Regions from separate parts of the Mus musculus genome. Here regions 1, 2, 3, 4, 5 and 7 are each reported to be linked to region 6. The links are microRNA targets in miRTarBase. Many come from high-throughput screens and were not tested one by one. Region 6 holds a microRNA gene; each other region holds the end of a gene's coding sequence.

Evidence for each region. Region 6 holds the annotated microRNA mmu-miR-17-5p (CAAAGUGCUUACAGUGCAGGUAG, at 2,507-2,529, opposite strand). A microRNA usually pairs through its seed, bases 2 to 8, with sites in the 3' UTR of a target mRNA and lowers its output. Matches are read on the target gene's strand: a 7mer-m8 pairs with bases 2 to 8, a 7mer-A1 pairs with bases 2 to 7 and ends in A, and an 8mer does both.
Region 1: the mRNA of Ulk1 is a reported target of mmu-miR-17-5p. Seed matches in the 3' UTR shown: 8mer at 2,815-2,822 and 7mer-A1 at 2,532-2,538.
Region 2: miRTarBase lists Itgb8 as a target of mmu-miR-17-5p. Seed matches in the 3' UTR shown: 8mer at 3,363-3,370 and 7mer-A1 at 3,294-3,300.
Region 3: miRTarBase lists Tbx3 as a target of mmu-miR-17-5p. Seed matches in the 3' UTR shown: 7mer-m8 at 3,671-3,677.
Region 4: the mRNA of Sox8 is a reported target of mmu-miR-17-5p. The part of its 3' UTR that is shown has no 7-base or 8-base seed match.
Region 5: the mRNA of Rab30 is a reported target of mmu-miR-17-5p. Seed matches in the 3' UTR shown: 7mer-m8 at 1,307-1,313.
Region 7: the mRNA of Kbtbd8 is a reported target of mmu-miR-17-5p. Seed matches in the 3' UTR shown: 8mer at 1,283-1,290, 7mer-A1 at 2,820-2,826 and 7mer-m8 at 2,855-2,861.

What each region holds. Positions count from the first base shown.
Region 1 is chr5:110,782,865-110,786,927 of GRCm38, forward strand. Ulk1 (unc-51 like kinase 1) reads right to left here. Exons shown (of 28, transcript NM_009469.3): 27 at 3,436-3,571; 28 at 1,625-3,363. The coding sequence ends at 3,308. Among named protein-coding and RNA genes, the nearest start is that of Pus1, 4.3 kb to the left of the region's middle.
Region 2 is chr12:119,159,536-119,163,602 of GRCm38, forward strand. It overlaps Itgb8 (integrin beta 8), which reads right to left. Exons shown (of 14, transcript NM_177290.3): 13 at 3,802-3,965; 14 at 3,268-3,704. The coding sequence ends at 3,582. Among named protein-coding and RNA genes, the nearest start is that of Itgb8, 77 kb to the right of the region's middle.
Region 3 is chr5:119,682,771-119,686,837 of GRCm38, reverse strand. Tbx3 (T-box 3) reads right to left here. Exons shown (of 8, transcript NM_011535.3): 8 at 2,114-4,067. The coding sequence ends at 3,746. Tbx3os2 (T-box 3, opposite strand 2) reads left to right here. Exons shown (of 3, transcript NR_040416.1): 3 at 784-1,750. Among named protein-coding and RNA genes, the nearest start is that of Tbx3os2, 6.4 kb to the left of the region's middle.
Region 4 is chr17:25,564,082-25,568,148 of GRCm38, forward strand. Sox8 (SRY (sex determining region Y)-box 8) reads right to left here. Exons shown (of 3, transcript NM_011447.3): 3 at 1,812-4,000. The coding sequence ends at 3,252. Among named protein-coding and RNA genes, the nearest start is that of Sox8, 4.6 kb to the right of the region's middle.
Region 5 is chr7:92,835,145-92,839,211 of GRCm38, forward strand. It overlaps Rab30 (RAB30, member RAS oncogene family), which reads left to right. Exons shown (of 5, transcript NM_029494.2): 5 at 545-1,973. The coding sequence ends at 795. Among named protein-coding and RNA genes, the nearest start is that of Ddias, 37 kb to the right of the region's middle.
Region 6 is chr14:115,042,146-115,046,212 of GRCm38, reverse strand. It overlaps Mir17 (microRNA 17), which reads right to left and starts at 2,542; the gene lies at 2,459-2,542. Mir18 (microRNA 18) reads right to left here and starts at 2,362; the gene lies at 2,267-2,362. It overlaps Mir19a (microRNA 19a), which reads right to left and starts at 2,213; the gene lies at 2,132-2,213. Mir20a (microRNA 20a) reads right to left here and starts at 2,056; the gene lies at 1,950-2,056. It also overlaps Mir19b-1, Mir17hg and Mir92-1.
Region 7 is chr6:95,126,442-95,130,495 of GRCm38, forward strand. It overlaps Kbtbd8 (kelch repeat and BTB (POZ) domain containing 8), which reads left to right. Exons shown (of 4, transcript NM_001008785.5): 4 at 36-3,352. The coding sequence ends at 499. Among named protein-coding and RNA genes, the nearest start is that of Kbtbd8, 11 kb to the left of the region's middle.

The DNA.
Region 1 (4,063 bases), not on the chromosome of region 6:
CCTGGTTTGTCTGGGTGTGGTGGCGCGGGTGTCAGGTTAGTAATGGGGAGGCTGTGGCAGAACAATCAAAAGTTCAAAGCCAGCATAAATTTCACCAGATTCTGTCTCATAGAAAGGGACAGCGAAATGCCTCATCACAGGGACCAGAGTTCAGACCTCAGCGCACACATCAGATCATAAAAATCTCTTAACTTCAGCACAGAGGGATGCAACAGCCTCTCCTGACTTTCTCCAGTGCCTGCACCTAAGTGCACAGACACACACACATACAAAATAGTTAAGGGTCTACAGATATAGCACAATAGTGAAACACTCGCATAGCACGTGAGGCTCTTGGTCTACTGTAGCACCAAACCCAAAGATGCTAACAAGAATTATCAGCTGCAAGAAGGAAAAACAGGACCTCCCCATGTCTCTCTATAAACCTAAAACTGCTCCAGGCGTGGTAACACCATGCCTGCATTCCATGCACTGGGCAGGGTGTGGCAGGATTGGGAGTTCAAAGCCAACCACAGCTAGTGAGTTAAACTATCTGGCAGGCTCTGACTGCTCTCCCAAGGGTCATGCATGAATTCAATTCTCAGCAACCACACGGTGGCTTACAAGCGTCTGTAATGGGATCTGAAGTCCTCGTGCGGTGGGTGTGTCCGAAGACAGTTACAGTGTATTTACTATATATAAAATAAATAAAACCTTTTAACCACTGACACCTGAAACAATGTCTCAACAGGGCATAAAAATAAAACATGGACTCCATGAACATGTGATATCTTGGATTAGTTTACTATGATATATAGGTATTACTATACCTAATAATTTTTATCCTGCGAAGATAATACAGATGTAAGATGAAAGCATTACATCTAGATGTTTGCTTGGGATACCAATGCCAGAGCAAGCAAAGGGAACCACAGGCAGATCAAGGAAGTTTTCTGAGAAAAACAAAAAACCCAAATGTGTGTAGCATAGGCAAAGTAAAACCAGGCACAGTGATATACATCTGTGATTCCAACACCTAAAAGCAGGATTGGTTGTTGAACATAGCATGTTTGCAGCCTGCCTAGACTATAGAGAGCCTGACTTAAGGGGCTGGAGAGCACAGAGGATTGGAACAAATAAAGCATACAGAGTGGCCAATGGTTTATAGAAGATTAGTGCTGGGAAACTGCACCTCAGAGCATACTTGCTAAAGTTTAGAATAAAATGACAAGTGAAGCCAGGTGCAATGGGGTGCCCGACAGTCCCTGCTATGAAGTCTGAGGCAGAGAACAGAAGATCATCTGAGCCTAGGAATCAAAGACCCTGTCTCTCAAAATGGGGAAGGTTCATTATCAATGATGCTCCACTCTAGGGGGCCTGGAGAATTGCCCCACCCTCTCTGGATCCTCACCTGACCCAGTGGGAACTGTTGTTTCCTGGGTGATACAATGAACCCACCCAGCTATCCCTGGATCAAACTGAGGCTTGCTTCCGGTGCTGAGCAAGCCACCACACCACCGGCACCGTGAAGTACTACTGGACTCAATCTGGCTGGGGGACACAGGCAACCTGCCCAGACAGACCTGAAGGCACACCCGGCTCCTGGAGGGACAGTGGCACCCCAGGATGAAATTGACACCACATAAATAATTCCAATTTTTATTTTCTTAAACTGATATGACACAGTGAAACACAAAAGGGGGAGACTCACAAAATTCATCTTAAAATTGACAGGCCTGAGCACTGCTTTCATGAGCAGGTTTGGCTCATACCACACACAGCCAGCCACACACACACACAGCCACCCAGGAGCCTTTCAGGAACCAGGTGGTGGGTCAGGAATCCCTGCACTAGCCTCCCTGGTGGCTCTGGGTTCCAGTTGGCCACAAAGCAATAAATACAACATGTTACATGCAAGGGAGGTCATAGGGTGACTAAGGAAGAGACTGGTCTTAGAGATCTGCTTTCTTGTACAACTCTTGTACAACCAAGCACAGTGGCAATATTTCAAGTATTGCAAAGAAAAACGTGTGTGTGTGTGTGTGTGTGTGGCCTATAACTCTGAAACCCCACATCAGCTTGTGGACACTCAGATACTTTCAAGTATGCATGAACAGAGCCGTGACAAAGGACTGGCAGGTCAGGGAGGCTGGGAAGGTATTAGCATGTGTCCACCCTGGAGCCTGGAAGACGAGCTTCAGCACAGATCCTGAAGGCCACCAAGCACAGGAGCCAGACTGACAGGAAAGCTCCACAGGGGACATGTTTGCATATGTTATTCTTCACCCACACCTCCACTGCACAGGGAGGACGGCACCTGGGCACTGCCTTTTCTGCCGCCCTTCCAGGGAAAGTTAATAGAGATAGCCAGCAGCACACTCGCTCTGGCACATGCTACAGCCTCAGCCACACAGCGGGCACCGTCTCCTACAAGGACAACATCCAGTGTGATACCTGGCCTGCCCTGCCTCCGCCCTTTCAATCCTTAAACATCTGAAGTTTCCTTTTATGAACAAAAACTGAGTTGGGAGGGTGGAGACACATCTTAGGAGTAAAGTGTGGAAGTTGAGGAGTTTTAACAAGCATGGGTGGTGCTTCACACAATGAACTGTCTGTCCCTAATGAACATTTAAACGTGAGGACTATCTCTCCCTCAGGAGGCAAGCCTGTTGCTTTCCTCCAAAGACCAGACACAGGAGGAGGTGAACACTGGGCTTTTTATACACAAAGATGTGGTCTGCATCTATACAGCGTCTTGGAGGACGAAAGCCAGGAACAGGAGGCAGGTTCCCAGCAGTCTGCACTGCTGGCTAGGTTCTCCAGTCTCTGTATGCATAAAGTGCTCCGGTGACTTACAAAGCTGGGTAAGTAGTCTCAGAGGGAGAAGTTCCTAGAGAGAACAGGGGGCCAGAAGACCATACCCTTTTTTCTTGGACAAGCAATGGGGCAAGTGAACTGTGAGGAAAAGCTTGCTTTGGCTTGGAGTCAGCAACGGTCTCAGGCCCTTGCCTGACACAGGGCTGCCATGGGCTCTTCAGGTGGCAGGTGCCACTTCTCGGCACCATACCTGCTTGCCAGGGAGCCAGCTAGGAAGAATATGTTCAGAAACTCCTGTCCCAGTGGGCAAGGGACCCCTGGCACTCTGATGTCTACCTGCCAGCAGAGACTGGCAGTCTAGGAAGCAAGAGTTGCACCAGTCTGCACAGGTCCACTGTGGAGCATCCCTGCTGGAGTTGGCTGGCAGCAGTCTCAGCACCATCGGATCTGATCAGTGTTGAGGACAGTCTGCCAGGTCTCAGACCCTACCCTGCAGGTTGGCAGCAGGTAGTCAGGCATAGACACCACTCAGCAGGGCCGAGAGTCTCCTCTCAATGCACAGCTTGCCTGTGGAGGAGAGAGCATGAGACAGGGAGGCCACACCTACCACCCCCACTTAAGCTCCGGAAAGGCACTCACATTTGGCAATGTTCTCAATGTCTGCCTGGTCCGTGAGAGTGTGCTGCAACCCCTCCAGCAATAGCAGGGCTTTGTGATATCTCGGTACACAGCCCTCTCGGTGCTGGAACATCTCATCAAGGGCAGCTGATTGTACCTACAGGCAACAGCAAAGCTGGGCAGGGCTGGGGCACGACAGGGGGCCTGACTGCTCAGCATACTGCGGATTTGCCCAACTTCACTTGTAGTTGTGTTGTGAACACAAAAGGTCTACGGAATTAGCTACAGATGCTCATCCACATGGCCTGCCTGCACAGTGGGCACTGTGTTGTCTGCTTGGTCTGTACACAACCCCTCCTCCAGGGGGAGCAAAGGGGAAATGCTTGCAGAGTGCTAAGCAACCACCCAGTGCCATTCCTACCACTGTGGCCGACAATGAAACGGATCAATAAATGGATCACAGCCAACTCAGAAAGGAAGAGATGAGGGAGGCCAACTTAAACTTCCACTGGCAGACATGTTCCTCATGTGAGGAACATTTGAATTATGTATGTCAAAGCAGAAACCTCAGACCCACAAACAGGGTGTACTCCTCACACAGAGGCTTTCCATGTTAGCTGAGGAAACTGAACTTCAGGGTCAAGTTCAG
Region 2 (4,067 bases), not on the chromosome of region 6:
GAATATTTAATTACTGTAGTATTTATCTCAACACAGTTTTAAACACTACACTGCAGATGACAATTTCAAGAGATGTCCCAATTTGGGGGATGCTAAATTGAAAAAAAAATGTCTTCTAGAATCAGCAAGACACACAGTAGGTATGTCTAATCAATTATCCACAACTAATTTGCCATGCAGGGATTATGGAAGATGAAAAGGAAAGGATTTGAAGGAATATTAGTGCTATCCCTTGAAAACGTTTGCATTACATAAAATGAAGTTTTTACAGTCCTAAGGACATAAGGATAGCTGTAAGCTAAGTATCAAGAGTAAACAAGGAGAATACAGTATTGAACCTCCTAATGAGCTGCTACCTTTACAAAACATAAATCACAACATTGTGAACATTTAAAATTCTTTGTTTTCAGAAGGGCTGTATTTGTCCAAATGAGTGCCGACATTAATAAGAGATTTTTTTTGGAAATGAAGAACTTAGTTATATTGTTAAGCTGTTATTTTTCAAAATTAGGCTTATTGGCTTGAAGCTTATGGGCAATTTCTAGAGAAATGTGAATGGGACAAACAGGAGACGGGAAGGAAGGAAGAGTCATTGAGTATAAGCTCGTCTACCAAGTGCCAGAAGAAATATAATTCTACTGAGAAAAACATTCATAATCTAGCAAGAATAATGATTTCAGTGTATCACAGATGTTTGTTGATATATAAAAGAATATCCTTAATGGAGGTTTAGTAAATATTAAAAGATATTTGAATTTTATTCTTTGGCGGTTTTGCATTTGATATATACACAATTTTAATTTGTCAATTTTGAAAACTTTGCCCCCAGAGATACCTAGTTTGTTTTTGTTATTTTTATAAACTAAGTTAAATTGAACATGTCTCTTAGAGAATGGATATGGCTTAATAAATAGTAGAAAATACCTAAAAAATTGTATCAAATGTTTATAAATACATGTTTACTGCAGTGTAAAAAAATGTCTCAGAAGAAATAACTTGTATATAGTTGCTTATGTAGTGGAAATATGGGACAGTTTTGAATAATTACACACCAGGGAACAAAATGCTGACAGGCCAAAAAAATTATCACTCGTTATTCATTTTGCTAACAATTTAAAATTCAATTAATTGCATTTACTATCAACAACTCAAATAACTCATGTGATCATAGCATTTGAAAATAGTCTAAAATACATAAATTATTTAATCTAAGAATACCCTGTTTCCCCTTACTGTTAATTAATTCTACCTAGTAAATATTAATTCTCTTCTCACAAACTATTAAACAGAACAATTATTCAAGTAAAATATAAGCCCTACAATCTTTTAAAAATTAGCTTTTTAAGTTAACAAAAAGAAGAGAAAGAAAGGCTACAAGACATTCCACATGTAAGTACATATTATCATCCAGCACTGAATTCTTGGCAAGGAAATTCATCTTTCCCATGGCAACAGCCTTGGTCAGTCTTAAAATTAGTGCAAACTAGTGAGGGCCTAAAAATGTACAAATCATTTTTTTTCAAGGCTTCTCTTTGATTATGCTCTTTTGCTCATTTCATGTGGAAATCATTGTTCATAAACACTGCTCACTTTTGAGTTGCTAGCATTTAATTAATGGATATCTTCCTTTGGGAGGAGGGACTGCCAAGCATCCATTAATATGTATATTTATAAAAGGACCCTATTCTGAGCAGCAAAGTAGGATTTTCACATCAGCTTTAGTGAGCACAGTTTCTTTAGGTGCAGTCACAGTATTTTGACAATGCCCATCTCAACTTGAGTAAACACTCAAGTCAAGAGCATTGTCATAGCTCTGCTAAGGGACACATCATGTTTTCTGACTAGAGAATAATTTACAGGCGTTCCAGCCCCCAGAGTATAATACCTAATAGAGGCTAGTGTTCATCGACATGCTAATATCTAATAACTTTCAAGTGCTGGAGAGCAGCAAACTGAGGAGAGACACTCTTTAGATTCCTCTGTTTTCACAGGTAAGACACTTGCTACACAAAGGACAGTTAGAATTTAGAATCCAAGTCACGAGCCTCTGGATCAAAGCATGGCCAGCTCCAAGAGGCTTGTTCTTGTAGTCACTGTGGAGGGAAGGGCTGCACCAAAGCCTTATCAGAAGGTGGCTAATGGGGAAAACTAGAAGCTGCTTATGCACAGTACCCTTTTCTACTTTGCATTGAAATATTCTCAAGAAAAATATTCAAGACTTGAATAAATCGTATTTTAAATTTTGCCATGGATGTTTTACAGATTCAAGAGGTAGAGTATTATTGTCCAATGCTGTCCTGTAATTGGAAGGCAGCTCTTCTCTGGTATTGTCACTTTCTCCGCGTCTGTGTTTTGTAAAATCGTTTTAATTTTCTGAGCCTCCATTTCCTGGCTAACAAAAAGGGGAGATTAGCTTGTTTCCAGGATATTACCCTCATGTGTCCAATTTTATACCTTTGTGAATTCTTATGAGTAGGGTTGGGATTCAAGGAATGCCCTTAGGGAACACAGGAGGGCAAGAATAATATAGCTTTCCATTTGAAAACTGTTGACATCATCTTGGAGTAAAAATCAAGAGAACACACTCAGAAAAGAGGGTACTCTGCTCGAAGCAGTTTTGTAGACACCTTTTGGATTTCGGGCTACAGGTCAGATCAATGACAGAGTGAAACAATCCATCCAGTTTGACAGGTAAGAATATATAAACTATCTTCAGACAAAGAAGCTATGGACTTAGATGACCTTAGACACCTTACAGTGACCCTTATTAACATTCAGCTTTAAAACCAGTATTCTAGTAAAGTGACATTGTCATATAGGTTCTATGGCAGTAGTAACTTAGCACTTATTTAATCCAGTCATTTGTGACATTATAAACTTATTCCAAAGGAAGAAAAACAGAATTTAAATGCAAAAAGGAGAAGATGTTGGAGTCAAAATCCATTTTGGAAAAGAGAAGAAAGCAGATTTGTACATGCACAAAGCCACGCAGCTTCAAAGGAGAAGAAAACAGACCCGTGCATGCACAAAACTGCACAGCTTCAAAAGCAACACCGCTTAGATTAAAGTTCATCTGTTCACCCAAACTGAAATGAAAGCCTAACCCTTACTCAGCTGGTTGTACACAGCTCGACAATGCCAATTGCCGGGTGTGGTTGACTGCTTTCAACTACTCCTGGATGCTTTTCATCAGCAGGTTGTACAGAAGGATCACCAGTCTGTGGTGGTGACACCCTGCAACCTGCTCCATAGCCTCGTGTTTGTCTGTGAAGCTCAGGGCTGACAGGTACCTGTAAAGTGTAATCAGTGCTTTCCCAGATGATCTACATTCTACGCTGATCTAAATAAGTTATATATTACAATAAAGTGCTACAACACTAGTCTCCAACAGTAGTAAGACACATAGTTCACTGAAAACTTCAGCAGCTGAGTGAGTCATATGGTTGTGAAGACACTTGCCAGTCTTCATGGCACACTCTTCAATATAATTTGTCTTCTCCTGTGACTTTATATTATACTTGCTAGAATAAATTGTAAAACCATCCAGCTTCCAACAGTTTTTGTTTGTTTGTTAATCTTATTTAGAAGTTGCACCTGAAGGCCTCCTGAGCATTTAGTTTGCTGATATCCATTTTTATTTCCTCAGGCTTTTCTCGTCGGTAGGTTACAGCTCTCGTGCAAACACTTTGCAGAATCAGTTTATCCTTGATGGAGAAGAAATATTAGGATTAGTAACAGAGCTGAGTGTTAGAAGTGCACAGTCACATATAATTAATATAATTGTCCTCCGAGTTCACCAACCTTTTTAGAAGCAGACATTCTATAATCTGATGAGGACTTTATTTTATTATTATTCCATTGTAGTATCACTTGTCTAATGATAAGAACTTTAAGCAACCCGATCAAGAATGTGACTATGAATATGATGAAAAATATTCGCAGATAGCTTGGGCCAGATAAACATTCTGCAAGAAAGGAGACAAGTTAATGGGTTAAAATTTTTTTTAAAGTAAACCAAAGTTTTCTGTCAAATAAATATAGTTTACATTCTTATAATAAAAGCAGGT
Region 3 (4,067 bases), not on the chromosome of region 6:
TTTTATCTGCTACTCCTCCATCCTGGTTACCTCCTCCTGTATCTCCATATTTCCACACGGAGAGAATAAGGAACTACAGTCCCCCTCCTTGACTTTCCAAAAATCCCTTGGAAATCTCGTCTGAGGCCCACATAGGGATAGATGGAAGACTTGGCTCTTCTTCTGACAGTAGTGAGGTGGGGGCGGGGCGGGGTGGCTTTGGAGAGGGTATGTCAGACTGGGGTCGTGGGGGGGGGGTGCGACCAGAAAGGGGCGCAGAGGTGAAGACCTCACGTTCCAGAATCCAGAAGGCTCTGGGGTGCCTAGCCAGCCGCAGTTAGGCAGGGCGCATTCGTGGGTCAGACAGACAGGTGGCACTCGAAGCCAAGGAGAAAAAAAAAGGAAAGGGGAAAAAAAAAAAAAAAAAAAAAAACCAACCAACCCAGGCGCCGGCCCCGAGTGGCCTCCGCAGCCGCCGCCACCACCACCATAAAGCCCGCGGCGAGATTGCGACCGGCGCCAGGTGAGTAATAGGTACAGAAATTCAGAGAGATTGCGAGCGAGTCACCCCTGGTCCATCAGCGCCACAAGAGTTACACATTAACAGCACTATATATAAATAAGATACAGCGGAGATTAAAAGGAAAGAGGAAAGAAAAGAAGAGAGTCTGAGGAGGGGCCGGGGACAGGTTTGGGCACTGTCCCCAAATTTGGGGGATGGAGGAGGAAAGAGGGAAGAAAAATCCGACTGAGAAAGCCAAGCAAGTTTGGTTTGATTTGGTTTGGTTTCTGCTTTCTCCGCAGTTTAAGCCGAGCTATTTTCTCCTCAATTTGGGAGCTCGCGCAGCCGGAGGCCATGAGCCAACTACCACCTTCCCAGGGCGGACTGTGAAGAAGAGTTTTGGTCCCGAAGAGGACCGGCCTTTCCCGTCCCCATGTCCCCTTAAGCACTCTCCAGTCCCCTCTCTCCCGTTGTTTTCTCCTCCTCCCTAGACAGCTGGGGAGAAGCAGTGCGGGTCCCCACGTGCCTGGGCTAGAAAAGGGGGGCTTGCCCACCCCTCCAAGGTCTAGAGCTGGATCCTCTTCCAAACACAGGAGGGGAGAGGAGGGGCCCCCCTCATGACTCTCCATTCAAGAGGTGACAGGGACGTTGGGCCCGGCTGGCGGGCTCCGGGATGGGGGTTGGGGGCAAGTCAGCCGCCTGGCGGGCTCCAGCTGGGTCTTTGAGTCAAGGCCCCCAGGGCAAGAAAGTCCTAAGGGCTAACTCTAGAGTACCTTCCCTTGTAACCCCTCTCCAACACAACACACACACACACACACACACACACACACACACACACGCCCCCGAGAGGATCCTGGAGGGTGGGGAGACTGAAGAATGACAGGACAGGACAGAGGCTTCACTGATTGATTAATTGATTGATTGATATATGTATATATTTGAAAGATTCAAAGATAAATTGAACTTCAAAAAGATAGGTTGCCTAACTGACTCGGGACTGGTTAGGGAAATGAGATGGTAGCTTCCCCGGTGCCTTTTGCCTTGGGTGTTCCATGTGGACTCCGAAAGCACCTTGCCTCTCTCTCATGGTCACTGTGGAGCCCACTCCTGGGCCTTACCCACAGCCCTGAATGTCCATGGATAAGGGAGTCTGCTTGGCCTTTTCCTGTGCTAGATTCCGTGGGTGTAGCGGACCTTATTTATTTTGTTTTGTGATCCATGTCAGAAAAGGGAAAAACGAATTAAAAGCGAAAACCCCTCCTAGCTCTTATTTCCGGTCGGATTCCTGGGGGGGGGGGGGAGCCGACTTTGAACACAGGGTAAAAATCTTCTCCCATTAAAACTGAAGTATATGAAGTTCCTCTTTAGGAAACCTAATCAGGCCCCTTTCTTCTCCCGTTCTGCTCCCTAAATTAAAGGGAAAATATTTTCAAATCAAATGTGGCTCCCTTCGCCGGAGCAAGGGACTTGTTTTCAGCCTTTTAACTTGAGTGACATTTCATTTTAGGTTGCTGGGAGGGGTGGGGGTGGTCTTAATTATTATTTAGAGAGGAAGGGAGCAGACTGGAAGATCATCCTCGATCCGGCTCTGAAAGACAACTCTTGAAGAAATCATTACCACAACTTCAAAACTCATTTCAATAAAAATTTATTGAAATTTCAGTGATGTTTTTAAAGAGGGGGAGAATTACAGAAAACTCATCAAAGACTAAACACAAAATACTCCTTCTTGGGTTTTTTTTTTGTTTTTTTGTTGTTGTTTTTTGTTTTTTTTTTTAATTTTTTGTTTTGTTTTGCCTTTCATGGTCGTTTGAACCAAGTCCCTCTCAGTACACCAATCCAAAACACCATAAAGATGAACAATGAAAACCTCACATGGGTTAGTAAGATGCCAGAGTCTATGAAAAATTAGGACGGTTCTATGGTGGCCTCCGCAAGGCCGTTCCCCCCCCCCCCCTACTCACACAACAATCTCAACCCCTCTGGGGGTGTCAAGAGTTTAGGGAATTTCAAGTGGAGCCCGGAAGGGCCATTACCTCCCCAATTTTGGTGAAAATAGTTAGGAGTACTCCCGATCCCACCCCCTCCATCAGAAAAAAAAAAAAAAACTTTGCAGCCAGCTCTACTTGAAAGCATGGAGATGTGAATAAAGATGCCTAGGCTTGCTAGTGTGGATTAGCCATCTCCTGACCTGGAAATAAGACCCAAAAGGCAAAACAAGAATAAAACCTGACAGACACGCTCCTATTTACATCCAGCTATGTACAATTCAATAAATTAAAGTTTAACTTTCTGAGCAGTCATATTCCACCTATTTACAAGAGATATCAAATAATTACATAAATACTTTGTCCAATAGTCGTGTTTCCTCTTTATTATTATCTTTTAAAACCTTGTTATTGCATATACAGTTAAAAGAACTAATGGTCCAACAGGCACACGAAGCCCTCTACAAGCGCTCAGATAAAAATCAACTCGGTTGGTTTCATGCCCATAGCTGCCCCTTTTACCCCACTTCCTCCTGGTTGCCGCCTTGAGCAAGGTTGAGGATAATGGGACTTCCGTTGTTTTTCCATAAAAGGGGGGGGGGGCAAAATAAACCCAGAAAACTGTAACATGCAAAAAAGAAGCCAGCATCGGCTCTTAAAACATCACAATATTTAAAAACAAACAAACAAAAAAAGACAGGATTCCTTTAATATAGATGGGGCAAGGTAAGGCCCCTCTTCTCTCTGCCCCAACGAAAGTACTCAGCAATTGGTGAGTTTCAGTCTTCATAGACAGTTCCACAGGACTTCATCTCCCCCCACCTCCATATTGGTTTTGTTAGTTTGTTTAGGAGGGGGGATGTTTCCACTAAACACACGAAGGGGGAAAGATTCCGGTGAAGTCTCTCAAAGACCCGCGCTCCTGGCTGGCCTGGCTACCTTGTTCTTCAGCCCCGACTTCCATACCAGCCTGCACAAAAGTCGCTCTAGACACAAAAGCCTGTTTGCCACCACTCCTCCCGCCCCCTCAGTCCCGCGTTTCAAAGCAACAGCAGCCTGGTTACACAGCCCATGGTGGCAGGGCCTGTGGTATCTAGCATAGTCTCTGGAAAGGCTTTAGTGCTCCCTCCCAGACAAAACTGAAAGGGACAGGGCGGGGGTCACCCCATGTGGAAGGCCCGTGGTTTATTTTACATCTAACAAAGTGCACTGGCAGATTTGACCAAACTGGAATGGAGAGACCTTGGGGGAGGGGGCGATTTTGTTTTTCTTGTTTTTAAGGGGACCCGCTGCAAGACCTGTCTGGCTTGGCTTCCAAGCCACTGACCAGCCGCTGGATACTCTGCAGTTCGCTGGTAGCCGCCTCCTTCTCGGAGCAGAGTTTGGGTGACAAGGACACTGAGCCAGAGGACAGCGTGGACGAGCGGCTGTTCAGTTCCGACCCCGAGTCCACAGCCACCGAGGCTGGGCTGGCTGCCAGGGCGGCCGCTTTGCCGTCTAGGGGCCCCGCGGCGGAAGCCATTGATGGTAAAGCTGTGGCCAGCAAACTGCTGCTATCCGGCACTGGGACGGGGATGGAATAGGGGCTGTAACGCAGC
Region 4 (4,067 bases), not on the chromosome of region 6:
GAACAGAGGTTAGCTCTGACCTCCACTGAGGTCAGAGCTAACATTGTATTAGGTCAAGAAATGAAGAGGAGGGACTTTCTGCCAACTTGCCCCTGGGATGGGCTAACAGGATGGGTGCTCTCTGAGAGAACAGGACTCTAAAGCTTGGACTCAGGGCGAAGCTGGCCAGGGAACTACTTTTAGACTGAAGTTCTCAGGAGACACCAGACAATCTCTTCTTATGGGCCAGCACATCAGAACTCCTTCCTCTCCAAGCTGTCTGTCCCAGTCCCAGCACCAGCACCGGGAGTCTCCCAAGATGGATGACCTTGGAAGGTTCCGCCTCTGAAAGCCCCAGGAGTTGAGGTGGAAGCAGGCAGGGAGGTACAAAGTACAGAGAATCTACAAGAATAAAGTTGGGGTAGCCAGGCCAGGACACTGGTGCCCCACGTCATGATGCTCAGATACAAGAGGTTCTCAGGAAGCAACACCCAGTATCAGGGCTGGCTGGCAAGACAGAAGGGCCCTGGGTCCCAGGAGTTAATACTCAGGAGGCTTGCCAAGTTCCAACAGAACTGGCAGGGCCACCCGGCCCTTGGGAACCTGGCAAGCCCCAAAGCTAATCCTAACCAAGCAGCAGGGCTTCACGGCTTTGTCAGTGAGCCGGGAACCTGGGGTTCTCCTTGGTCTGGGGTGTCAATGAGAGAACTCTGGGGGCCATATGGATTCAGACAACCCTTGGCTGGATGCAGGACTGGCAGGGTTTGGGTCTACATGGACAGTAGCCTTCGAAGACATCAGCCATCCATGAACCTGGTTCTCACAGCACCATCCTCAGAATCCCCTACACCTGGAAGCTTGGCACACTCAGACCTTACGAGCTCTTATAAACCCAAGTGACTTTCTGAATGCTGGTCTTAGCAGGCTCTAGAGTCAAGCTTCTTAAACTGGGGCAGTAATAAATTAACACACACACACACACACACACACACACACCACACACACACACACACACACACACCACACACACACACACACACACCACACACACACACACCACACACACACACACACACACACACACACCAAACACACACACACACACACACACACACACCACACACACACCACACACACACACACACACCACACACACACCACACACACACACACCACACCACCCACACACACACACTGTGGCTCTAGAGAGACATGGCTACCCCACTCCCAGACCAAGACTGAAGTCTACATAGCTGAGATGAAGCCAGCTCTGGCAGCCCCTGCTAGCCACATGCACCCGGGAGACTTGGCCAGAACCCCTCCCCCTACTTGCTCTCTCTCCTCACAACCATTTTCTCCCTAGAAACTTTGCTCCAAGCAGCAGGCTCTCTTGGGATGGTTCTTCTCTGCTCCCAGCCTGGCTCTGAGCCAGGACCCTGCTCCCAGAAGAGAAAATGCCCATCGATTTGAGACACTGTCCAGCCACCCAGATACCAGCCTCGATTCGGCTGGGAGGAAAGCACGGCTTGGAATGGCCCGTCTGGACCTGTATCTGTCTGCTTTGGAGCAAACCCTCAAAATGAGGAAGCCAGACAAGGCTAAAGGCATGGTGTTTAAATTCAGACCAAGTGGTTGTGACAGGGTTGGCTACCTCCCTAAGGTGAGGAAGTTCCCACCTTGGGGAGTCTGGGCTGGCTTGCTCCCCTCCCCCCAGTGGCCTGCTTAAGGCAGCTGGACCCAGGCTCTCAGCAGAGTTGCACCCATCTCTGCCAGGAACCTTCCTGTAAGAACCCCCAGGCTTAATTATAAGAAGTAATACTCAAAACATGCTCCAAGTAGAGAAAACATTTTTTTTTTTAAATTTTATCAAATTTATCTGTACAAAAGTTAGCATTGCCTGGTCAGAAAGGAACGAAACACAGCGAGTAAAGGACAGCAAATGTCTTTCTGAATTCAACACCAAAAAAAAAAAAAAAAAAAAAAAAAGACTGCATAAAAATGAGTTTGCTGTGGTTCCCACCTCGGCCCCCGGAAGGAGATAAGCTGAAGAAAGAAAAAAAAGGCTGGATTTTTTTTTCCCCTCTAAAAAAAGGTAGGAAAAGTAGAAAAATTAAAAAGAAGCGAAACTTCTCAAATGTGAGCAAATATACAAAGTGTTCAAGGCACAAGTTTCCGTGACGTAGCCGGTTTATACACTCGACACAGCGACGCAGGCAGGGAAGCTGATGTTACTCTCTAACTAGGAACCTAAGCAGGTTAGTTGGGGAGGCTCTCCTTTCACAGCTTGGTAAGTAGCGCCTGGTGCCAAAGAGCCAAGATTATCGTGGTTCTGCAGCTGCCCAGCTTGCAGGAAATTCCGTCTTCTACCGCTTGGCACCATGAAGGCAGAGATGCTACTCCTGCCTTTCAATGCCTGGCCCAATGATGGTGCCGGGCTTCTTGTTCTAACTAGACCCTAAGAGGTTGATCACTTCCTCCTGTGCCTGGTGGAGGCCTCCAGGGACATCCGAAGGCCAAGCAAAGAGATGCTTAGGGATTCTGAGCCACCTCCCTCCTGCCCTTTACAGAGCAAGCTTCCCCACTTTAATTTTGTCTTAAATTCTACTCTCTGCACAAATTACTTCATTAATTAAAGATAAAATAACAACAGAACATAAATACGTCTTCAACACCTTTCAAAAAAACAAACATGTTTAAGCCTTAAAATAAAAAATAACAAAAAATAAAAATAGACACAGAAAGTGTTCATCTCAGCCAAGCCTTGCTGGGAAGAACGGTGGTAATGAGAAACCCCTCAATCTCACATTGGTCCCAAGAGAGTCCCCGGGTTGGATGTATCCTCGAGCATCCACAGATGTCCTTTCATGCTTTCACCGTGGGAACAGCATCCATTGGTCCCAGGGAGGTCTTGGGTAGGCTGATAAGGACATGAAGCCCATTCTCTCCTTTGTCCTTAGGCATAACTATCTTCTTATCTACTGAGATGCAAAACTCGGGAGCTGGTGTACACTTATCCAAACCGGAGAGCAACGGAATGCCTGTTTTGGAAACCACCAGTCACCTCAGAGAAAGAAGAGGGGGAAAAGAGAGCTCTGTCCCCTGGCAGAAGTTTGGATATCCAGAAGCAAAGGGACACAGGATGACAAAGCCTGGCTTCCTGCACATTCAGCAGGCACTTGACGGAGTAAGGCCGTGCTGGCTGCCTCCAACCTCTACCGAGTACACTCCGGAAGAACTCAAAGATCTGGCTAGACTTCCTGGATGCAGCAGCCTCAGGGTCGGGTCAGGGTGGTGTACACAGGCTGGTCCCAGTTGCTGCTGGGGCTGTGTGCGGGTGGCATAGAGAGCCCATTGAGCAGTGGCGAGGCATAGGGCCGACGGGATGAATGGAAGTAAGGGTATTGGTAGAGGCTGGGAGGGTAGCCAGGGTAGGGGCTGTAGTAGTTGGAAGCCTGCAGGTCAGTGTAATCACACTGTGCGCTGGCGAAGGAGCTGGCAGCCGTGGCAGAGGCAGCTGTGGTGACGCTGGCCTGGGCACTGTAAGAGCCATAGTCAGCACGGCCAGGTGAGCCATGTGACTGGTCGTTGTAGTGGCTAGGACTCAGCTGCTCCGTCTTGATCTGTGGCCGAAGGGGTCCTGCCTCTGTGGGCGAAGCTGAAGCCGAGGGAGCTCCCTTGTGGGCCCACACAGGGGATGCCCCTATGCCGGTTGCCCCGGAGTGCGAGTAGGAAGCGCCTCCATAGGAGCCAGAGGCAGTGGCCTGGCTGGGCTCTGTGGGCAGGGCTGAGTGGCCATTGAGGGGCAAGTACTGGTCAAATTCATGGACATCGAAGGTATCCATGTTACTGATAACCTCGCTGCTGAGCTCGGAGATGTCCACATTGCTGAAGTCGATGTTCTGGCGCCCGCTGTCCACTAGGCGGCGCCCTTCCAGCCTTAGCTCTTGCTTGCTTCCATTGCTCGCCTGGTGCAGGTCCGTCTTGGGGGTAGTGGGTGGGGTGGGTGGCCCATGGGTCTGGCCTGAGGAAGAAAGTATATTGCAAGGATGAATGCTCCTTCTGTGGGACCAGGGTGGAGCTGGTGGGTG
Region 5 (4,067 bases), not on the chromosome of region 6:
AGGGTTAAATCATAATGTTTTAAATTCAATTGAAATCTTTGTACTTATGCAACTATATAACTAACAAGTTTACAGGTTACTTTTAAATTTTAATTTTGTATTAAGTACATAATTATCTTGTTCAATTATGTAAAGTGAGATTCTAAGGTCATATCTGTAAAGCAGAATATGATCAGAGAGGGCTGGTTTCCGCCCCTGTGCTCTCTACGTTTCTCTTTCTGGGTGCCCATTGTCTTTTAAACTACAATCTTGCTTTATTATTTTTCTTAAAATGTAAGAAAAAATGGAATTTCTGTCTATTTTTTTAATTTAGACAGTTGAGGATTATACTTTTTTTTCTGCTTCCTGTGCTCATATTCTCAATGCACGCAAGGCACTGGTGTTTTAAAATCAACAACACCGCGATCACGGTCACATTTATTGGGCTTTACTCGCTCACTCATCTGTTTAACCTCCTGATGGACTTCAAGTCTGGAATTGAGTCGCGATGCTTCCTGGCTGAAACACAGTCAGGTGATGATTCTTTGTTTTACCCTCGTTACAGGCAACAAGATTGACCTGGCTGAAAGGCGAGAGGTCTCCCAGCAGAGAGCAGAAGAGTTCTCAGAGGCTCAGGACATGTATTACCTGGAGACTTCAGCCAAGGAATCCGACAATGTGGAGAAACTCTTCCTTGACTTAGCATGCCGACTCATCAGCGAAGCAAGACAGAACACACTGGTGAACAATGTATCGTCACCCTTACCCGGAGAGGGGAAAAGCATCAGCTATTTGACTTGTTGTAATTTCAACTAAAGGCTGAGGCAAAGAGAATCAAAGGGAATCAGTAGTTGCCTTGGTGGGCCGTACGTTGCTAGGGAATCTGGCAATGACTATGGCTCCCGCTCTTGGACCTTCTGACTCCTGTAGGCTCCAGAGCTTACCAAGCATGCAGGCCAAGGGCCTTGACTGCAGGCCAGCATTAGCAGAACACATAATGGTTTCACCCTTTTGCAGTCTGGCGTTGGAGCAAGGAGAAAATTGCACTAAGCGCTCCATGATCTGCAGAGCATGTTGCTTTTGTTTTTAAAAAAGCAAGTAAAAAATGCATTCCTGAACACAGAGCAGGGGATCGTGTACTGTAGGAATCCTTCTGTGTGTCAGCGGGTGCATGAGGGGCTATTCTTTAGGCTTCAGTGGTAATCTGGTGCCCATGGATTTCTTGACTACCAGGTAAACCAAAACTGGAAAGGCCAAGTACTGTCTCTGTAGTACTTATTGAGGACCCCATGGAGATTTTGAAAAGTGTTATTTCTTTTGTCCACAAGCACTTTCAAAACCTTTGGGATATAAAAATGGGAACTCTTCTCACGACCAACAGTAAAAATTATTGTTTAACAATATATACAAGCTCCATGACTCTTTTTGGTGCTAATGATTATGCTATTTCACAGACCAAACGTTTTAGTACATTGATACCCTTAGATGTATTACCTAAAAATAAAAAGAGAATGGGGGAAATCCATGAGTCAGCAGTCTTCTTCAGTCTCATTACCACCATTTCTAGGATGGGTTTGGATATGAGAAGCCCTTCTTCTTTCATATTCTCCTTGAAATTTATTAACATTCTTCTATTCTTTCACACTTATCGTGCCCTTTAGGTAAATCAAAGTATTAAAAAAATGGGGAAAAATATAAATTATGACATTCTAATAAAGAAGATTAGTTGTAGGACATGTTGAGTAGCATGAGAAAACAGAGCAGATATGACCAAAATACTGTGGACTATGGACTGACTGCAGGGCAGACTTCCAGACAGAGTGCAGCTCTCTAACAGGTCACGCCTTTTCCTTTCGGGAACTAGCCTTGGAGAGGCCAAGGTTTAGGATTTTGTAGACATTTTTAGTATAATAAGTGAGAATAGCAAGAGATGAAAAGTCTCACAAATCATTTTTGTATCTTCAATAAACTTAGGAAAGTGTGCTCAGGAAGCAGGCTGAGCTGTCCTTTATTAATATTAATATTGATCTCAGATTCGTCACCATACATTTCTTCCCCCTTTATCTTTTCTTCTCCCTAGTCTCCCCCTGTAGTGTTCCTTTCCCCATTCCTTCTTTTTCTCTTTCCTCCCCATACCGGTATGCACGTGTTACTCGAAGTCTCCAATTCCGATGGAGGTGTATATGCCTTTACTTAGCCGATTTCACAACAGGACTCAAGTTGGGACACGTGCTGCTGAATGACTTCCTGTTTCTTCAGTGCCGTGGCTTGATGCCTTCCAGTTTGTTCACTGTCATAGCTGCAAATACGACAGTAACTAAGTCTGTGTGCTCTTGGTGTTGCTGAAGCTTGCTGTATAGCATAACTGAGTATGAGTCACTGAATGAGGATATGACGGGAAATTCCGCTGTCGGTATTGATGGTGACAATCCTGGACCTGACATGTCACTCTTGGAAAGCTACTGAATTGTAAAGCAATGATTCAACAGGGCAGGATATTGATAACACATTTCTAGCATTTCTAACAGAGTCCAGAATGCCCAGTCTTTCTCGCCTGTGACTGCGTGTATTATTACCAGTCGTTGGTGTTGATTGGCTCACTGTGCTCTTCTTGATTCCACAGGAAAGAAAAAGGCTTCCTACAAGTTTGAACTGTCTTCCCTTTATATAGGAAGGGGAAATAAATCACTTTAATGGAAATCAAAATCATCTATAATTACCTTTGCTTAATAGCCAGCAACCAAAGGCATCAGAAGATAAACTAATCAAAGTTACAGAAAAATATATCTTTCTACTGTGAATGTCCCTAAATTTAGATTTATTACTTTTCTTTATGGCAAAATTCTGATCTCCCCAGCATAAGATGACTCAGCCTTGTCTCACAGCACTGTGTTAAAAATAACGTTGCTTTGTGAACTTTAAGGGCTTTGTTAGATTGGACTAATTTAGCTCCAGAATAACAGCTTTTGGGGTCACATTTATGTTATTTTATTCTCATTCCTTTGGGCTTATAGCACCCCCATCTGTCCCTTCGAGTTCAGAAGCAGCTCAGAGAGCTCTGCCACAGGTCCATCTCCCTCTGGGTCTCTGAGTCTTTGAGTAAATCATAGTCACCAATCTTTGGCCTATTAGTGTGGACACTTGAGAAGCTGGGCCCTTCCGTTCCACAGTTCTGTGAATTTAAGATTAGGCCATTGGGATATTTGTTCAGCGATGTATCTCAAGTTTGAGAACAATCCTTGACAATACTGTAGGTGCAATAAATACCAATTGAATAAATGAGTCAGTGCCAAGAGTTTTGTTTGTTTGTTATTTTAAAGTGAAAGTCCTTAAAGTGGTTCTTGAGATAGAATCATTTCAATCTAGGGCAGGACATAAATATTATTTTGCCTAATAATTCTTATTGCCAGGGCAATATTTGCTCAGATAAGCCTCCTTTACATATAATTATTCAATGGTGAAACCCCCCCCCAAGTTTTGGTTTATTGTGATGTCAGCTCATCCTGACAAGGCCATCGCTTCTTCTATTTGTAGTATGACAATTTTTTTTTACTTTTTAATAAAATTATTAAATATGTGACCACCTTTTCAATTTCCAATGAAAATACATGTTCAGGGTGTAGAGTCAAGCTTGGAAAAACTCTGTAGGATTGTAGGTTTCTGATAGACTGTGTCCTCAAAGAACTTAGCGGTTTCTCCTTTCTTACACAGAGCCGTGTTCCTTTGTATCTTTCATTAGATCTGTTGGATTATATTAATATTTAATTACATAGAGCCAATCATGGTTTGTGTAGACTTCAAAAGTTACATCATTGGCTTTTTCCGGCTTTCATCCCCTCTCCCCACCCGTAGTTTAGTCATTTTTTTATGTCAGCATCTTTCCCTAACTAAAAATGAAACTGAAGTGTATTAGCATTCTAGTATGTCAGGTTTTGATTTTGAAATTATTAAGAAACCACTGACCAAAACAAGATGTCTGGACTAGTATGATTGAAAGCAGTGAGGCTCGATGGAGGGAGGAAGAAAGCAGAATCTTTCTCTTCTCTTCATCAGAGTGTACCTGGAAGGACCCGAGTGATTCCCGGTGT
Region 6 (4,067 bases):
CTCCGGGCAGTTGCAGGTTGCATTGTGTCAGCAATTATGTAGGACTGACTCTTCAAACCATGCACAGGGAAAATCCAGCTGGTTTTCTGTGCTAGGTTTGCCTGTTAAAATGGACATCTTAGAGTTTTTAGTAAAATCAACAGTATATAGTCTCAATAATGCTTCCTTCTTAATATAGGATAAATTTAACTACTTTCATATAACATAAGACATTAGTAACCCACCCCCATTCCTGAAAGCTTATAGCAACTATATGCCCTAGTTACTACAAAATCAAAGTCTAAGAGAGACCACAGCTGTTTTGCCAACAGAGTTTTAGAGCAGACAGTCAGCAAAGCCCCCTGTGCGGAACTGAACAAGTGCGTTGCTGCGTGAAGCCCTTAGTGCAGAAAGCAGCTTAATTAAGGGAGGAGAGAGGAAAATCCTAGGAAAACTCCTCTTCACTACTAGGCCTCTAAGACACACATTCCTTACTAAAATTAAATCTCAATTTAAGTTCAAAACATTCTGAACACAATTACTACCACAAGCTCAGCATCCAAAGGTCCTAATTAAGACCTTATTAATTTTAAACTTCTAATTTAGTATATTGAAGAAAGTACCTGGCAGGCTTCCTATGTTGGAAGATAAACGTAGCATTCAATCCGTAACACTGGTGACAGACCCCTCCCTTTATAGGAGGCACATGGATCATGTGGATCGTGCTGACATTAGAGCTTTATCACGTTTTAAAGGAAGTTTTCATTAGTCATCTGAAACAAGTTTTAATCCAAAAATGTTAAGAATGGAGTCAGAAGTGACTATGTTTCTGTTTTAGTAATAATTGTACAATTCTGGTCACTCACAATCAAACCCAGGCCTGTGGAATCCTTACCTGGCAGCTCAGGGATCCATCAGTCAGCTTCTTGCATTTCTTTTAAAAAAAGCAACATATTATGGAAAACTTTAGCTCTGTAGATAGTGTCAGCTTAAACCTGATTTTAGCAGCTCTTCCTTATTAATTTTACTTTTCTTTAGGTTTCACTCCAATGATTTTTATTCATAGCCTGAAACCAACTGTGCTGCCCAAATGTAGAACTATATATTATATATACTGTTATCCTAAATACTAACTGCAGCTTCTCCAGACCCAGCACTCGAGTGTCATGTGTACCTGTCACTCTACTGACCATCAGTTTGCCATCTTTCCCTTGAGGGGGTCACATGGTAAGAACAGTCCAAGGATAGTTCTTTCTTACAGGGTGTGCACATTAACAGAGTGGCCACCACCTGTTAACTGTTAAGAACTCACGGATTAGGAATAATCTTATCAGAAAACACTCCATCTGAATTGTCACACTTTAATAAACAGAGATCCAAAGAAAGTAACATTTTTCTTAACTCATGTTAATGGGTTTTAGAGTAAAATAAACCTGAAGTCATACCAGGTTCAAAAGGCAGTTTAACTTCACCTAAGCCCCCACACACAACTTCTTACTAAATCCAGCGAGCAAACACGAAAATGAAATGATTCAGTAAAAACAAACCACAATTTAAAAACACAAATTTCAATTAAAAAAATCCCGTTTTACACACCAACGAAAGCAATAGAAATCACAGTTTACAGAATGTGTTCATACACTCCATCAGCTCGTGAACATTTTTACAGTGGAAATCGGCATCTTCAGCAATATTGTCATTTTCACATCTTCTGGTCACAATCCCCACCAAACTCAACAGGCCGGGACAAGTGCAATACCATACAGAGAAACACAGCATTGCGACAAATCCCAACCTGTGTAGAAAGGGGTTTGATTTTCCCTTACTTCTCTACAGACTTTTCACCACCACAGTCAGTTTTGCATGGATTTGCACAGCAGAATATTATACAGCTGGATGCAAACCTGCAAAACTAACCATAGACCAGTGCTCAATAACAGGACAGTTGGCTGGGCGATGGCCAGGCGAGGCTGGAGTTCTACAGCTGGCAGTACTTTAAGTGCTCGTAATGCAGTAGATGGCTACACACTACCTGCACTATAAGCACTTTAGTGCTACAGAAGCTGTCACATCACACACACCACGCAGGCTCTACATCGACACAATAAAAATACAAAATTAGTTTAAAAAAAAACAACACTTGAAGTAAATAGCAGGCCACCATCAGTTTTGCATAGATTTGCACAACTACATTCTTCTTGTAGTGCAACTATGCAAAACTAACAGAGGGCTGCAAACACAACTATGGAGAGACCCCTACATGCTTGCTTGACTTGGATTGGATGAGGACATAACTTCTTATGCCAGAAGGAGCACTTAGGGCAGTAGATGCTAGTCTACTTCACTATCTGCACTAGATGCACCTTAGAACAAAAAGCACGCAGCACCAGCAGGCCCTCCCCGCGACCGACTGACCGACGACTGGACGCAGCCAGTGCCGCCCGAGGCAGCGCCCACTGTGGCTCCCACCGAGGCAGCTGTCAGCATAATGCTACAAGTGCCCTCACTGCAGTAGATGCACACATCACTACCTGCACTGTAAGCACTTTGACATTATTCTGACTGGTCACAGCTTCAGTCCCAAGGTGAGGTTCACTTTATTCCTGCTAAATTTGAAATAAATAATTAGACAAAAAGGAAAAAGCCAAAGCTCTAAATTCTGTCACAAACATCAATTACAGCTTATACCCAAGGGGGGGAGGGGAGGAGCCAATAGCCAGAAGTTCCAAATTGGACACATGTAAGCCTTAAAAAAAAAAAAAAAACTCCTTAAAGAAATATAAGATACAATCCCATTAAAATGTTGGCTTTTACAGTAGGCTTCCCCAAAAAACACACAATAAGGGTCCTACAAAATGAGACCTGTTATCAGGAAGGCAGTCTGACTTGGTACTACCTTTAGAGGAAAGCCTCACATTGACCAGGCAGCAATCCCTTTCTTCTGTCCTCCACATTGTCAGATACTCGACAAGATTAATGATTATTGTTTAGTCATTTTCAAGTTTATTAGTCATAAAACATAAAAAAGTCTTAGTATCACCCCAAATTAGAAATACTCTATGACTCCAACTTGAAGGGTCTACAACTATTTGGTTAGTGTCCAAAAGCCACTGTAGATTTACTACGTTAAAATGTGGCTCACTCATTTATGACAAGAGTTCAAACTGTATTTATTTCATACCTTAAAAGACCAAGAATGTTGTACAAGCTCAAAGACAAAAGTGAAAACCAAAGGTCTCAAAAGAAGTTTTAGCTACAAAACTAGAATATACTCACCCACTCAGGCAAACTTCCTTCTCAGCAAGTATCCTTGGGCAATGCTTCGGGTGCTGCTAGGTCCACGTGTATGACTAGGGTTGGGGGTGGGGTGAAGACAGAGAAAGGGTAAGCACATTTGCTCAAAATTACTACCACTTTCCGAGCCCCATTCCAAGTTGCTCTTCTCTTAATCTTCCTAAGGGGCAATTCTATCCATTTGCCAAAAAAAAAAAAAAAAAAAAAAAAAAAGAGAGAGCCAGGACCACAAGGTCCTGAGGGCAACAATGTATTGGGTGGAAAACGCTGTAACAAAATAAAGTTGAAAACCCACCAAGATTCACATCCGTGCACGAATTAATGTGCCCCTGAAATACTGCAAGATGAGTAGCAGCAAGCCTGAACTCTACTGTCCAGCTCAAGCTAGAGAAAAAGGGCAACCAGGACTAGTCTTCACCACCCCTCCCCCAATCAGGACCTCGTGGCTGCACGCCGGGATAAAGAGTTGTTTCCCCAACTGCTGTGATCCTCGTGGCACGTTGCTCATTTTCTTCCCTCTGGTCACCTAAGAACCACGAGCCCTGCTGCGCTCTCCAGTTTTCTCCCCTCCGCGCCAGCTTATCAAGAGAAAACCGGACGGGAACACGGGATCCTGCCAAGTACCCGCCACGCTCATGGAGCCCGGGCCGGCAGCACATGTCGCACAAGGGGGCAGGCGGCCCTTGTGGGTTCCCCGCGCGGCCGCCAGGGGGCGGCAGGTCAGAGCCGGGCCGCGCTGCGCCGGACGCGGAGACTCCCCCCCCCCCCCAACCCCCGCCCGTTTCTGGGCGGCT
Region 7 (4,054 bases), not on the chromosome of region 6:
AAAACTTACATATTTGTTTCCCTTTTCTTTTTTAGGGGAATTTTTCCTCTTCTATGAGCCTCAAAAAGACTACTGGGGATTTTTAACCCCCATGACTGTGCCTCGAATCCAGGGCTTAGCAGCTGTGTACAAAGACTCAATCTACTACATAGCTGGAACCTGTGGAAATCATCAGCGTGTGTTTACTGTTGAAGCCTATGATATAGAGCTAAATAAGTGGACTCGTAAAAAGGACTTTCCGTGTGATCAGTCTATAAATCCATACCTGAAGCTAGTACTTTTCCAGAATAAACTCCATTTATTTGTGCGAGCTACTCAAGTGACTGTTGAAGAACATATCTTCAGAACCAGCAGGAAAAATTCTCTTTACCAATACGATGACATTGCTGACCAGTGGATGAAAGTGTATGAGACCCCAGATCGGCTGTGGGACCTTGGCCGCCATTTTGAGTGTGCGGTGGCTAAACTCTATCCTCAGTGTCTTCAGAAAGTTCTTTAAATAAGCAGCAGGCCAAAGCACGCCCCTGGCATCTCATACTGAGGAAGCTGGCTTAGGAAATGCTGTCGCCATTGAAGAAAGCTAACAGAGTCTTGTATTCAGAAATGGGTGCTCATAAAGACTGTGGTGTGGAGAGGGATTTGATTTTACCTTCATGATATTTTCAGTTCAGTCAGGAAAGGGAACAAAGTGCGGTTATCAGCATTTTTCCACCCCTGGCATAAAAGTATCATCCTAGAGTTTTGTGATAAATAGTTGCTGAGAAACCAGGTGAATTCAAGACAACTATGCACTCTTGAAAAGCAGAATATTCCTGGGTAGAGACATCCAAACTGGTTAACGTGACTTTCTTTTAACTACGGGTAACAATATGAGGCAATATCATTTATTTAGCTGTGATCTCTAACACAGAGAAGCACTAACCTAGATCCTCAGTCTTACTATTTATATCTATTTACATATATATTTTTGTGTACTGTTTTCAAGTGTACGAGATTTAAATGTGCTGTCAGCAGACGGAAGGGAAACTCGGTTTTCAGAGCGAACTTTTAGTCCGATTGTTCCATGTAACTTTTAAGTTAAGCTGCAAGGTTAAAGTGGCAGTTTTCTGTCCATAACTTTTTCAAGTGCTAACACTGTCTCATTTTTTAAAATCCCAGAAAGGGCTCAGATTTGCAGGTGACTGGTGCTCGTATAAGTTCATTCATGTGTAGTTAGATCAACTTAAATGGTTACCGAGTCTCTGTTTATCTTTCAGGTTAGCATGCTAGTTCCATGGTCCTGGCACTTTACCTTGTGATTCCATGAGGTCTGCTATTTGTGTGATAGGATATGGCCGTTGGCCATTGGTCTAGCTGGATTCAGTTTTACAATTCCAAGTTTGCACTAACATGGGCTGTTTTGTTGCCCAAACTCTCTTTCCATCCTCTACCTTTCCAGTCATTGTTGGCATCGTGAAAGTTAACTAATAATGTGAAGTTTTAACACCTACTTATAAAATTCTGTTTTCTAGAAACAAGAGTCTTGGAGTGGTCTAATAATTAAGTGGCTTATAAGGTTCATATTATGGTTACAACCTCTCTATTTTTTTGCACTCAACAGTGATGAATATTTTTATGTTGAAACACTTGTAGCTGAAGGCGATCTAGAAGGAAGGATGAGTGAGTGAACAGGTCAAAGGTTTCTGTGCTCTAGGTACTAAGGCGCTGTTCATAGTGAACTGATAAGTTTCTCACAGTTAGTTAGGGATATTAACATAAACTCCTTTTCACCTAAGGCAGGTATTTAGGTTGATAACATACTCATTACTATGCCTACTATAACTGATAAAGAATATTACACATAAGGCAGAGCCTGTCCTCAGTCAACACATTTTCTTTAAGAGACTCAATTTGATTCTCTTGAAGAAACCTGGCAAGATTTTGTATTGGAATAGAAAAAAGTCTTGCACAACGTGTAAGGTGATAGATACTGTGAAACAAATGGAAAATATTGCCTCTTGCATCACATACCTCCTTTTCCAGAAACTTTATAGACTGCATTACAAAGGCCCTACAAGGAGAGAGTTCTCGAAGCAGTTCAAGTGGACAGCATTCACAGATTGTTCATGTGTCCTCCACAGCTGGATGCGTGGCTTCTCCTAATCTCTTTGTAAACTTTGTCAGCCAATATTTTTTTAAACCTCTCTAGTTGTCTTATGGTTTTGTTTTTTTTGGGTTTTTTTCATGCTGTTTTAGGGTTATTTCTGTGAATTTTTTGAATTATAGTTTTGTATTGCTAATGAGAGGGAAGAGAATTTTTACAAGAGATATCCATGTAATTTATTTTTGAAAGCTTTGTTGAGTATCTAAGATTTCCTGCCACTTTGACAATCTCTGTATTTAGGAAAATTCATTACTTGAATACATGATGTAGAACATTGAGTTAGCAATGTACATGTACCGTACGATATGTAAGAGAACAATACACTGTGGCTAATTCTATACTAGATTTATTCTGTTGGTCTGTACAACAGTTGGTCCTTTTGTCATAACTGTGTCTATTGAGGGAATCATTTCAGAATAGTGTATCAAAGCCAAGGTTTAGAATTTGCTACAGGAGTAGAATATATATTGAATTTTGTATGAATTATTTGTTTACATTACATAGCTGGGATATTTTGCCACTTTTAAAATGACTTTAGAAAAGGTCCTAGGAAACTTAAGATTAGTGATGTGTGTGGGTTTATGTGTAGAAATTCAAGGTACATTCTCATAGTCTGAATATAAGTAAAAGGCACAAAGGCTACAGCAGGATTCAAAGATCTAACAAATGCCAATCCCACTTTAACTATGTTTCTGCATTTGAATGTACACAGCACTTTTCCTATATAGTTCTATACAAAGAAAACAGAACTAGGTATAACTGTGTTGTAGGATTGAAGAAATCATTATTTATGTCTGTCTTTGTTTCTTGTTATCCTACAAAGTTGATGTGTAAACATCAAGTTGATTTCATTGGTGCATGAGGAAAAGTGGATGTGATCTGTGAGGAACCAGAGTCCCATGGGAAGAGTTTAAGATGGCATTCAATATTCAGTGCTCAGGTATGTAGTAAGTACTGTAGTCCTATGGGGCAAATGTGTAGATATTTTTAAACATTTTGCCGTAATTGCACAATTTTTGCATTTTTACCTGATGTCATTGTTTCTTGTAATAAAATCTTTTCTGATTGAAAACTGCCAGTGTTGTAAACTGATCTCAAGAATGAATTTTGCAAAATTAAAATTTGGTGAAAATCACAAACTATCTCATGTCATGTAGAATGAAATAATATTTTAACCTATTAAATATCTGACTTGTGGCTTAAAAATGAACTAGTTAGTATTAACAAAAGCTCCTTTATTCTGATGTAGCCTAAAATGTCCTCAATGCCTCTCTTCTATGCCAGGAAATTCCGTTGCCTCCTCTGGAGCACCCTCATCCTCTTCATATTACCCTAGTTTAAGCCTGTTCTGTGTGCAGTTGCCACTGAAAGCCATTTTCTTCTGTTTAGCACCCTTGAACCCTGTGATCTGTTTTCTTCACACAGTTTGAGTGGTTCTGAAGGCCGGGTTGTGTCCCTGTTCCTGCTCAGATCCAATGGCATCCTACCTCCACGTGGGAGCTAAGCTCCTTACCAATATTATCTTCCACTCAATATTATCTCTTGGGCCTCATTAAAATTTCTTGAACTCACTAGATTCTAGCCACATTAACCATGCTGTTCCTCAGACATGCCAAGTATCTCCCACATCAGGGCCTTTAGCCTTGCCATGTTATTAGTCAGAGAAGGCCTTATAATTACCCCTTCCAGTAAAATAACCCCTTACTAGGCTATAGAAATGGCTCAGTTGTTAAAGAGCACTGTCTGCTCTTCTGGAGGACTGAGGTTCGATTCCTAGCTCCCACATAGAAGCTTAGAACTGTAACTTATTTCTAGGTGTTCTGGCCTCCTGGGGCATGAGATGCACATGTGAACACAAATACACAGTGCAGAGAGATATATCCAGGCAAACAGATGAAGAAAAAATTTTTA